3 linked regions of the Callithrix jacchus genome follow. The protein of the gene in region 3 interacts with the protein of the main gene of each other region in a pairwise test. Links are inferred from orthologs where the notes say so. Each region holds a gene or a part of one and is shown on either strand. Other genes may lie near its edges. The genes, in order: KHDRBS1, WAS and ITSN2.

Region 1 (3,654 bases), on a different chromosome or scaffold from region 3:
ATTTATACCCTATTTCTGGGTGTCTCCATTATTTTTACCTGGGAACAGGTGGTGGAGGAGGTGCAGCTCCCCGGCCTCTCACTGGCACCCCACGTCCACGAGAGGGTTCAGGTACTCCATTTAAGTAGGACAGCTCTAGAAATTGCTCCTGGCAGATATCATCCATCATATCCTGGGAATGAAAGATACAAGGAGTACTGTGTGATATCTACGCTTTCAACTAAGAAACCATCTGGCCACAGGAGTCTTGAATTCTAAGAACAGCTTTGAGAGCTCAGATGAGGTCTCAGGTCATTCATTCTCTGAAGTCAAATGGCACCATACCTGTCACCTCTTTGAGAAAATCTTGATGGCAGACCCCTCATTATTCATAATGTGATCCCTGCCTAGCTTTCTGGATCACTGCCATTCTCCCTCTATATATAACCTCCACATAAGCTAGGCTGAACAACTTGTAGTTCAGAGCCTGGCATACTCTTACACATCCATTCTTTGCAAATAGTTCCTTTTCCTGGAATAATAAAAGCCACGACCTTTAACAGAGCTGTATGTACTTGGCTCTATATACTAACCTTTATATAAGTTTTTCAGTTTAACCTTTATATAAGTTTTTCAAAATGACCTTGAAGTAGGCAGATCTTCACATTTTACAGTTAGGAAAACAGACTCAAGAAATATACATCACCCAGACTAAGAACAGAGCTAATAAATGGCAGACTCTAGATGTGAATTCAGAATTACCTGTCTCAAAATCTAGGTGTTGGAGCAACAGGCTATATTTTCTTTTTTTGTCCACCTGAGGGACTCTTAACTCATCCTTACAAGACTTGTCTAAATAAGTGTCTCTTGAAAAGCTTTCTCTTGATGCCACCCCATAACTCCTCTTTTTCCAAAGTGCCATGTAATTCTCTGTACCCAAGCACTTACCATATCATTTTAATATTGTCTGTCACACATTGTAAGCTCTTCAGGAGCCATTTTTGTACCTTTATACCCAGGCATAGTATCAGACATCTGCCAGATATTTAACAAATGTTTGGGATGAATAAGGAACCTGAAGCTCAGAAAAGTGAAATGATAACCTGTCTAGGAAGACACAGAAAGAGAGACATATGTAGTCCTGTGCTCTTCCTACTGCAGCATGAAGCATTCCTGGTACAATTAATGGTTCTAAGGAGAAAATGGAGGGCTCTGGTTACAGATGCAAAAATTGCCTCGCTTTTTTTCTCCGCGAGAAGGAAGAATCAAGCGAAATGCCATTTGTAAATCTTTTCACTATTCCTCTTGAGAGCCAGTCTTAATACTTTATGCATTATTATATATCCCAGGCGTATACAGCTTCAACAGATGATTCTAGTCTTTGATGGCTCCCTCAACTCTCCACCTCCTCCTATCTTACACTCCACCTCCTCCTACCTTACACTGTGTATCTCAAGCATTACTGCTGCTTGAGATGCACACCTTGGAGAATCAAGTAACCAATACCAGACCACTGCTCAGACTCCTCCAACTATCACATCAACACTGAGGAAACCCAGATCTCCCCAGCAGGTATCTTTTTTAAAGGACTGACTTACATGGAAGCCTCATAAACCTAACACTTCTGAGGAATATGCTGGAGACCAACAATAAAGAGGAGATGGGCATTCTGTCTGGAGTCCTTTGGAAACTGAATGGCTTGGGTGTTCAATAGAACACCCCAAAGAGAGTAAAAAGAATTCCCTTGAAGAAAGATTAACTGGCTGTGTTTTTCTCTAGGATATTTTAAATAGTCTGTTTCATGTTGAACATTCTAATGAAGATGAGGTACTTGAAAACAAAGCAGCTGCTAAGACATTTGAAACTACTGGACTCCTTGGAGTTCAGCATAAATTTTTGCTCTGTCAACTTTCATATCCTCTAACACCAAATTTATTTCCAACTCCCTCATTTAACATTCAGGAAAACCAAGGACTGTTATCTTATCTCCTCTTAGTTTAATAATGAACACATGACACTTAATTCTAGTTGAATAATATTCCAAATCCTTCATAAGGTTCCAGATTCATCCTTGTTATTAAATATTCAACAGTAGTATGTTAACTTTGGCAACCACCAAGCCTTGCTAAAAGTCAAAAATAGTACCATTTCCTATTTATTCAAAGTAATATTCTGACCAGGTAGTACTAAGCAAAATAGATAAACTGGCCTGTCCCATCTCTATCTAGTCCTCAGTTACCGTCTGAAAAACGCTGCACACCAATCTGTTAAACATTGACAGTCAAGCCTACAACAATCATGCCTCGTCCAAAGCAAACTCCTCCAGGAGAGAAATCCCTGAGTGTGCTCAGGTCAGAATTTAATCCAGTAACACTAAATGCTATTAGCTTCTCGTTGCTAGCCTATACTCTACAGCATAAATTTCTTGAGTACAGGGACCCACCCTAGTCATGTTCTTAACACAATCTCCTTGTTCCACACTACTACCAAAATAGTCAGCTAGGTAAAGACCCTGTTAAACCTTAGTTAACCAAATATCAGAAAGCAGACACATTGTGGACCCAAGATACTGACAACAGATACAGGTACACAATGAAAACCACATTACACAAGGAGGCATAGAGTGGCCTTGGAGCATAATGCTTTGAGAACTAGGTACAAGTAATGAACTAACTCAGGAAAATGAACATAAATGAAGAATTTGGTATACATACAGGTTATACAGAGATCTTAGTTAAGAACCCCTACCTTCACAACAGCCTAAGATCCCAGTTCTCTTTTGCTCAGAAGACACAGAATATGGATTTCCTTACCGGTACCAGAAATTTCTTGACTTCCTCCATGGCATGGGCCATAAGAGCATAAGCCTCACATGGGGGTCCAAAGACTTCAATGAAGACATGCAGATCCATATTCAAGTGGGCATATTTGGGGTCTCCACCTTTGCGCAGCTCTTCCTCCTATGGAAAAACGCAGAGAAATGTCCTATCACATGGACTAGGGAGAAAACAACACCTTTACTTCTAACCCAAAGGAACAGCAAGAAATAACCCTAATGTCTAAGAAAAACAACAAAGTTTAATTGGTATGAGCTGAGAAGAGTTAAAAAAAAAAAAAAAAAAGAAAGAAAAACAGGAAAGTTTAAGAAAGTAAAACAAGAGGCCAGGTGCAGTGGCTCACATCTGTAATCCCAGCACTTTGGGAGGCCCAGGTGGGCGGATCATGAAGTCAGGAGTTTGAGACCAGCCTGACCAACATGGTAAAACCCCATCTCTACTAAAAATACAAAAATTAGCCAGGTGTTGTGGGACGCGCTTATTATCCCAGATACTCAGGAGGCCGAGGCAGGAGAATTGCTTGAATCCAGGAGGTGGAGGTTGCAGTGAGCCGAGATTGCACCACTTCACTCCAGCCAGGGCAACAGAGCAAGACTCCGTCTCAAAAAAAAAAAAAAAAAAAAAAAAAGAGTAAAACAAGCTCTGAAAGTAAAATAAGCTCTGAAGAATAGTAATTTGCACAACCTGCTAAACGTGCACGTGGTCTGCTGCTAACAGTTAATTGCTGTCTTAAATCACTGAGCTATCCACTGGAGCTCTTATTAAAAGCATAAAGAAGAAAAACTTAATTCTAGTCTCTATTAAGATAATAGCTGTTTGCTGTTTTAAATCTCAGGTA
Region 2 (3,051 bases), on a different chromosome or scaffold from region 3:
GTGGCCGATTTAATGATTTTTTAAAAAAATAATTAAATGCATGACATCTGGCCTCATGTCAAGCTTTTTCTCACCTCAGGGCCTTTGCACTGGCTGCTCCCTTTGCCTGGAACCCTTTTTCCCCAAATATTCACTTGGCCGACATTTCTGTCTCTTTAGGTACAGCACCACCATCACCTCCTCGAAGTAGCTTTCCCTGATCTCTCCATCTGAATATTGTTTCATCTGTATCTCTGCCTTACCACTCCACAGCATTTATCATGAGTCTGCAATTATTTTTTTATTTCTATTTGATTTCTTGTTTCTTCTCTGCCTCCTCCCCTAGAATGTGGATTTCACCCCATAAGGGCAGGAATTTTTGGCTGTTTTCTTCCACTGCTTGATCCCTAGCCCCTAAAATAGTACTTGGCAATAAATGTTTATTGAAAGACAGAGGGGCAGAAGGAAACACAGAAATACAGGCTAATTGACCAAGGGAATAAATTAGTGAATGAATATATATATATACATGTAAGGCTAAATGAATAAAAGGAACTTTGGTGGAAAGAGACCCACATTTGGAATGTAAACAGACTGAGAATTATAGAGAGACAAAAAGACAATTCTTTTAATTTTTGTTTAAAAATCCTTGAGTGAAGAGAACTGAGAATTTTTTTTATAAAAGGGGCCTTGGGATTGCTAGGGTGAGTGTGAGGACCAGGCGGCAATAACAGCATTGGAGGGGTTGATGGGGAAGAAATGAGGGTTGAAGGCCTGGAAGAGGAGAGTGGAGGGTGGGCACAGAGCAGGTAGAAGGGGAGCCATTTCCTACAGGTAGGAGCGCAGGGCAGCAACAGCTCAGCCACTCAGTCATCCCATTCATCATCTTCATCTTCATCGCCAGCTTGGTCCTCCCCTTCATCTGGAGGGAAAGAGAAAGATGCCCTGGGAGGTTGGTGGGGGGCTTCATAGGGTCTGGGAGGTAAGGACTTGACCCTGGGGGGCTGAGGTCTCCTGCTAGAAGATGGTACATTAGAGTTTCCATTTGGGACAAGAGAGGAATTATAGGTAGGGTCTGAGTTCTAATTGGAGTTGAAGTTTATATTGTCAAAAATGTGGTTAGTCCAGATGTTGTCAAATAAAGGGTTAATGTTAACCTATTTATTGGAGTGAATTTAAATATTATTAGCAAAGGCAGGATAATTTATTATTGTTTTTTGTCTGGTTAATGCTAATATTTTTGACACATAATGAGGTTAATGACAATAACATTATCAAAATTAGCTGGGCGTAGTGGTGCACCTGTAGTCTCAGCTACTCAGGAGGCTGAGGCAGGAGAATAGCTTGAACCCAGGAGGCAGAGGCTGCAGTGAGCCAAGATCGTGTCACTGCACTCCAGCCTGGGTCACAGAGCAAGAGTCTGTCTCAAAAAAAAAAAAATCATTGTCAAAAGATGAAGTTCCTATAATATTGTCATATAATAGATTCACCTTAATCTGTGGACACACTGTGGTTAATGTTGTTAACATTAATGTCAAAATTGGAGTTAATTGTATTATTATCATTTAGTGGGTTGAGATTAATATTATCATCATATAATGATTAGTGACAGTATTACTGACACATTAAGAGAGTAATAGTAACATTATCATAAAAAGATAAGGTTAACAGTCAGGCATGATGGCTCATGCCTGTAATCCCGGCACTCTGAGAGGCTGAGGTGGGCAGATCACTTGAGCCCAGGAGTTGCAGAACAACCTGGGCAACATAGTGAGCTCTCATCACTACCAAAAAAGCATCAAAAATGAGCTGGGTATGGTGGTCCATGCCTGTAGTCCCAGCTACTCTGGGAGCTGAGGCAGGAGGATCGCTTGAGCCTGGGAGGTTGGGGCTGCAGTGAGCCATGATTGCACCACTGTACTCCAGCCTGGGACACAGAGCAAGACCCTGTCTCAAAGCATTTAAGAAAAAATATTACATTATAAGATTATTATCTCATAATGAATTAATATAAATCTGTTGACACGTGGACTTAAAGTTAATATTATTGTCAACAATGGTGTTCTTCATAATATTTTCATCACATAGTGGGTTAATGTTTCTTTTTTTTGAGATAAGATCTCTGTCACCCAGGCTGGAATGCAGTGGCACAATCATGGATCACTGCTGCCTTGACCTCCCAGGCTCAAGCAATCCTCCCACCTCAGCCTCCCAAGTAGGTGGGACCACAGGTACTTGCCACTATGCCCAACTACTTTTTTAAAATTCTAGTTTTTGTGGAGACGAGGTCTTACTATATTGCCCAGGCTGGTCTCGAACTCCTGTGCTCAAGGGATCCTTCTGCCTTGACATCCCAAAGTTCCTGGATTACAGGCATGAGCTACCGTGCCCGGCCAGCTGATGTTACTGAACATAAGGGAATAACCTTAATATTGTGGACACACCCTGGCATTAATGTTAATATTATTGTCAAAGTTGGAGTTAATTATATTATTGTCACATAATGACTTAATGTTAACATTGTCAAAAAGGAGACTGACACAAGATTCATGTTAATGCTGTCAACAGATGGGACTAATGTCAGTATTGGTGGTGACTGCTGGGATTGTTTTGAGGCCAGTGCTAGCCCTGGGAGCCAGGTTTGAGGCCCTGGCAGGATCAACTCACCGGAGGAGTGGATGGCTCTGCTTCTCTTCTGCATCACATTCATCAGGGCCCCCACCAGTCCCTCTGAGCTCTGAGGTGGTGGCTGCAGTGCTGAGCTCTCTGTGGTACCAGGGGTCTGCAGCAGGCAGGGGTCAGCACAGAGGGTTCAGGGCCTGGGAAAGGAGCATTTCTCCCTGCCCCTCCATCATTATTTTCCCTTCCACACACTCCAGTCCCCTTCAAGGCTCCCCATCAACTTTTCTTTCTTTTCTTTTTTTTTAGAGATGGTGTCTCACTATGTTGCCCAGGCTGGAGTGCAGTGGCTATTCACAGGCACGATCCCACTATTGATCAGCACGGGAGTTTTGACCTGCTCCGTTTCCCACCTGGGCCAGTTCACCTCTCCTAGGCAACCTGGTGGTCCCC
Region 3 (3,654 bases):
AAGCTGTTTTAAACATACCTTGTAGGAGTATATAACAAAATAGGGGAAACCTGAATGAAAAAACACATAAAGAGCTGCAACTATAGCAGCCAGGAAGCTGGCAGGAGGCCTGGGCAGGAGGGCAGGCTGCATGGGGGCCGGGTGGGGAGGAAGGGTGGAGGTGCAGCTGGCTCAGAGCACAAGCCTCCCATGAGCTGCACAGGCAGGCCTGGCACAGCTGGACATACAGCAGGGAGGCTGGAGAAGAATGGCAGTTCTGGTCTGAGGGCCACGGCAGAGCGGGGTTGTGGGGGGTGCTTTACAAAGACCATGGCAGCTCCACTGAGCAGGTGAGTAAGCTGTGCCATGAACAGAGAGGACACTACGAATATAACAAATCTGGAGCCCCACCGGCCTAAGTTACATGCTGGGCCTGGCGGGGCAGGGGGTTGCCTTCGGGGAGCTTATGGCCATTACATGAGAAAAGCGGGGGCTCGGGGCGCAAGCAGAGACAACAGAGGATGAGAATCCAGAGACAGAATGATCACAGCCTTAGGACAGCGGGGGCTCCAGGTAGAAGTCATGCTGGTCAAGGCATGAGGGAAGGTGACATGGAGGACACCTTGATGTGAGCCTTGAAGAATGGGAAGAATTTAAGGTGGGGACAGAGCACTTCTGCTGGAGGAGGGGTGTGCGTGGGAAGGCTGGGCAGGGCAACGATGGGCTGCTCAACTAGGCAGGTGGATGGCTGGACACAGGAAAGAGCTGGAAATGGGGCTGGGTGGCACGTAATAGTGGGGATGGGCCCTCAGTGTGCGGCAGGAAATGTGTCCTGAATTTGGGAGGTGCTAGGGAAGATACTTCAGCAGGAAGAGGTAAGAGCAGCTCTGGAAAGAATACTCCAGAAATGAAGAGGATGGGTGACAGAGAGGAAAGAGAGCCTTGTGCTGCAGCCTGGGTGGGAGATCGGGGGCCTGTGACATGGGGGCAGGAGAGCAGGGCGATGGGAGAATGGTGAGGGAGGAGCACTGCAGGACCTGCAGCTGACCGGGTGTGAGGCATCAGGGAGGGGCCTGGGTGACTGGGGACCACACTACTGTCCACATAGGGTCCTGGGAGGAGGAGCCACTGCTGGAAGGAGGCTGGTGGTCCCCCGGAAAGGCCAATGTGTGATGTGGGAGCAGTGGGGCAGGTGGTTCTAGAGGGCGCTGTTCAGAGGTCTGGGTTTCGAGGAGTGTGGCCAGCTGGACCACAGGGTCCAGAGAGAAGGCGGAGCCTCGGTGACTGCCATCAGTGCAGGGAGCTGGGGCAGGGAAAGTGAGCTGAGCCCCTAACTAGGCCACTGGTGTTGCTGACAGGACAGGACATGGACTGAAGTCTGGTGAGGTGAGAAGAGGGAGGAGGCAGGGGCAGGAGGAGGAGAGGGCAGACTTAGGGTCTAGTCCCCTGGCTGCCAAGGGAGAGGATGGATGGCGGAAGAGCAAGGGGGAGCAGGGGCTGCTGGGGAACTAAAGGGAGGCAAACCACAGGTTTGGCCTGCGATGGCCCAAGCAGAGGTGAGGTGAGGTGAGGTGAGGGTGAGGGTGAGAGGGTGAGAGGGTGAGGGGGTAAGGGTGAGGGTGAGGGTGAGAGGGTGAGGGTGAGGGTGCGGGTGAGAGGGTGAGGGTGAGAGGGTGAGGGTGAGGGTGAGGGTGAGGTGAGGAGGTGAGGGTGAGAGTGTGAGGGTGAGAGGGTGAGGGTGAGGGTGAGGGGGAGGTGAGGAGGTGAGGTGAGGAGGTGAGGTGAGGTGAGGGTGAGGTGGGGTGAGGTGAGGTGAGGTGAGGTGAGGGTGAGGTGAGGTGAGGTGTGGAGAGAAAGGACTGGAGAAGGTGTGGGGGAGGGGGAAGGGCAGAGCCAGCACTGCCAGCCCATGTTTGTGTGTGCAGGGGCCCAAAAGGGTTTGCAATGGTAGCTTCGAGAGGGGAGGGCTCTGTGGTCTGATCCTGCAGCAGGTCTGCTCTTTCACGCCCGTCCCCATTTCATCAGCTTGACTGCAGGAGGAGGTCCCTAGGGCCCCTGGGGGCTACATCCCACCCTCTGGGCACCCTCATACCTTGGTAAGCCTTCTCACGCTTCTTCTTCTCAGTGTCAATGTACTGCTCAGACGCTGCCTTGATCTTCTGCACCCAGGCGGTCCTGTGGGAGAAGCAGGGTTAGCTGTTGGCCGCTTCCCACCCTCATAGCTCAGCCCTGAGCCCCAGAGCTCTGCACATATTCTTCAGTCTTTTGCTAACCTCAACCTTCAAAAGTTTCCTATCAAAGACCTGATATTAGTCAACCGAAAGACGCTTATGCTTATCCAGCTGAGAACTGCTAATGACCCTTCTTGACTGATCACAAAACCCCAGGCACTCGCAAGGCGCTGGGACCCGGAGACACACAATGCACTGGCCCCACAGATGACCCTTGGCACTAGGGGTTCTAGCACACACAGAGGAGCAGCAGCACCCCCTGGGTTGGCATCGCGGAGGTGCTGTTGGAGCGGCAGCCTGAAGGAAGCTGGGAACGGCGGGGGCACACCCACACAAGGGCACCTGGGGGGCGGAGGCCTGCGGGTGGTGGGATGTGGGGCTGCAGCCGCGGACACCAGCAAAGCACAATGGACTGTGGCCTGTGGGCAGCCCCTGCAGGGCATGAGGTGCTGACTTGCCATTTGCAAAGACTGCTGAGTGGTGTGAGGAGAGACTAGAAGCAGGGAAACGTGTTAGGAGGCCGCTGCGGTGACCAAGGCCTACTGTGGGACTGGAGCAGAGGGGACGTGTTAAGAGAGGTTCAGGATACAGAGTAGTGGGGCTTGAGCACAGCTGAGGATGGGTTTATGGCAGAGGGAGATGTCCAGGCCTTCTCCCGGGGTTCAAGGCAGGCCACACATGGTCAGGACTGACCTCTCGTTAATGTTGTCTGTTCGGAGGGTGTAGACCCGATCAATGTGGGAGATGTGGAAGACAGGCTCATCGCTGGAAGGGTCTGTGGGCAGTTTCACCAAGACTTCATTCAGGAAAATGGGCTGAAAGAATTAGGGCCAAACACAGGCTGTGAGATGGGCCAGAACACTCCACCCACCTATGTCTAGAGAGAGTTCTGTTTGTTCTGAAGAACCTTGCTGAGGAGAAAAAGGGTCTAGGGTCTAAGTTCTTCCACACAGAACAAATTAAACCTCCATTTGTAAGAGTAATGAAGCCTCCATTTCTGTGAAAGTAATCACTGAGTTGGGTCAGGTGTTGGTTCTGGGGACAGGAGCTCCGAGTGCCCACAATTGCCGGTGCAAAAGGCTCTCTCTACTGCTACCAGTACTGGTGCTGTGCTTGGGCTCAGCTTATAGAGACCCAACGCTGAACATGGACAGCAGTGAGCCCAGGTGTCATGCTGGCCAGCTGGCCAGGTGAAAGCCAGAATCTCAGCTGGAGCCTGGCTGACAGCCAGCAGTGGGTGGGGAGAGCTTCCTGTGGGAAGTGGCTAAAGAAGCACGAGCCATCTGGAAAGAGGTGAAGAGGGTCCCATAACAACGGCTTAGGGTCAGCCAGGAAGGTCCTTAAGATAGAGATAACACCTCATTAGGCCCCTGATGCTACTGCCAGACACATGATACTAACCGTTTTATACATTTTGAATTGAGCACTGGACTTAGAGCTGAAA

The links.
Region 1: the proteins of ITSN2 (region 3) and KHDRBS1 interact in a two-hybrid assay, tested with the Homo sapiens proteins (2 studies listed by BioGRID and IntAct, with this or other methods). The link is inferred for Callithrix jacchus from reciprocal best matches to the Homo sapiens genes ITSN2 and KHDRBS1.
Region 2: the proteins of ITSN2 (region 3) and WAS interact in a two-hybrid assay, tested with the Homo sapiens proteins (2 studies listed by BioGRID). The link is inferred for Callithrix jacchus from reciprocal best matches to the Homo sapiens genes ITSN2 and WAS.

Annotation. Positions count from the first base shown.
Region 1 is NC_133508.1:68,645,314-68,648,967, reverse strand, and holds part of KHDRBS1 (KH domain-containing, RNA-binding, signal transduction-associated protein 1), read right to left. Parts: intron 2,940-3,654; coding exon 2,793-2,939; intron 173-2,792; coding exon 39-172; intron 1-38. UniProt on the Homo sapiens protein: Recruited and tyrosine phosphorylated by several receptor systems, for example the T-cell, leptin and insulin receptors. Once phosphorylated, functions as an adapter protein in signal transduction cascades by binding to SH2 and SH3 domain-containing proteins.
Region 2 is NC_133524.1:49,258,327-49,261,377, reverse strand, and holds the end of WAS (actin nucleation-promoting factor WAS), read right to left. Parts: intron 2,762-3,051; coding exon 2,647-2,761; intron 902-2,646; coding exon 846-901; 3' UTR 585-845; downstream 1-584. UniProt on the Homo sapiens protein: Effector protein for Rho-type GTPases that regulates actin filament reorganization via its interaction with the Arp2/3 complex. Important for efficient actin polymerization. Possible regulator of lymphocyte and platelet function.
Region 3 is NC_133515.1:91,037,423-91,041,076, reverse strand, and holds part of ITSN2 (intersectin-2), read right to left. Parts: coding exon 3,612-3,654; intron 3,026-3,611; coding exon 2,904-3,025; intron 2,155-2,903; coding exon 2,072-2,154; intron 1-2,071.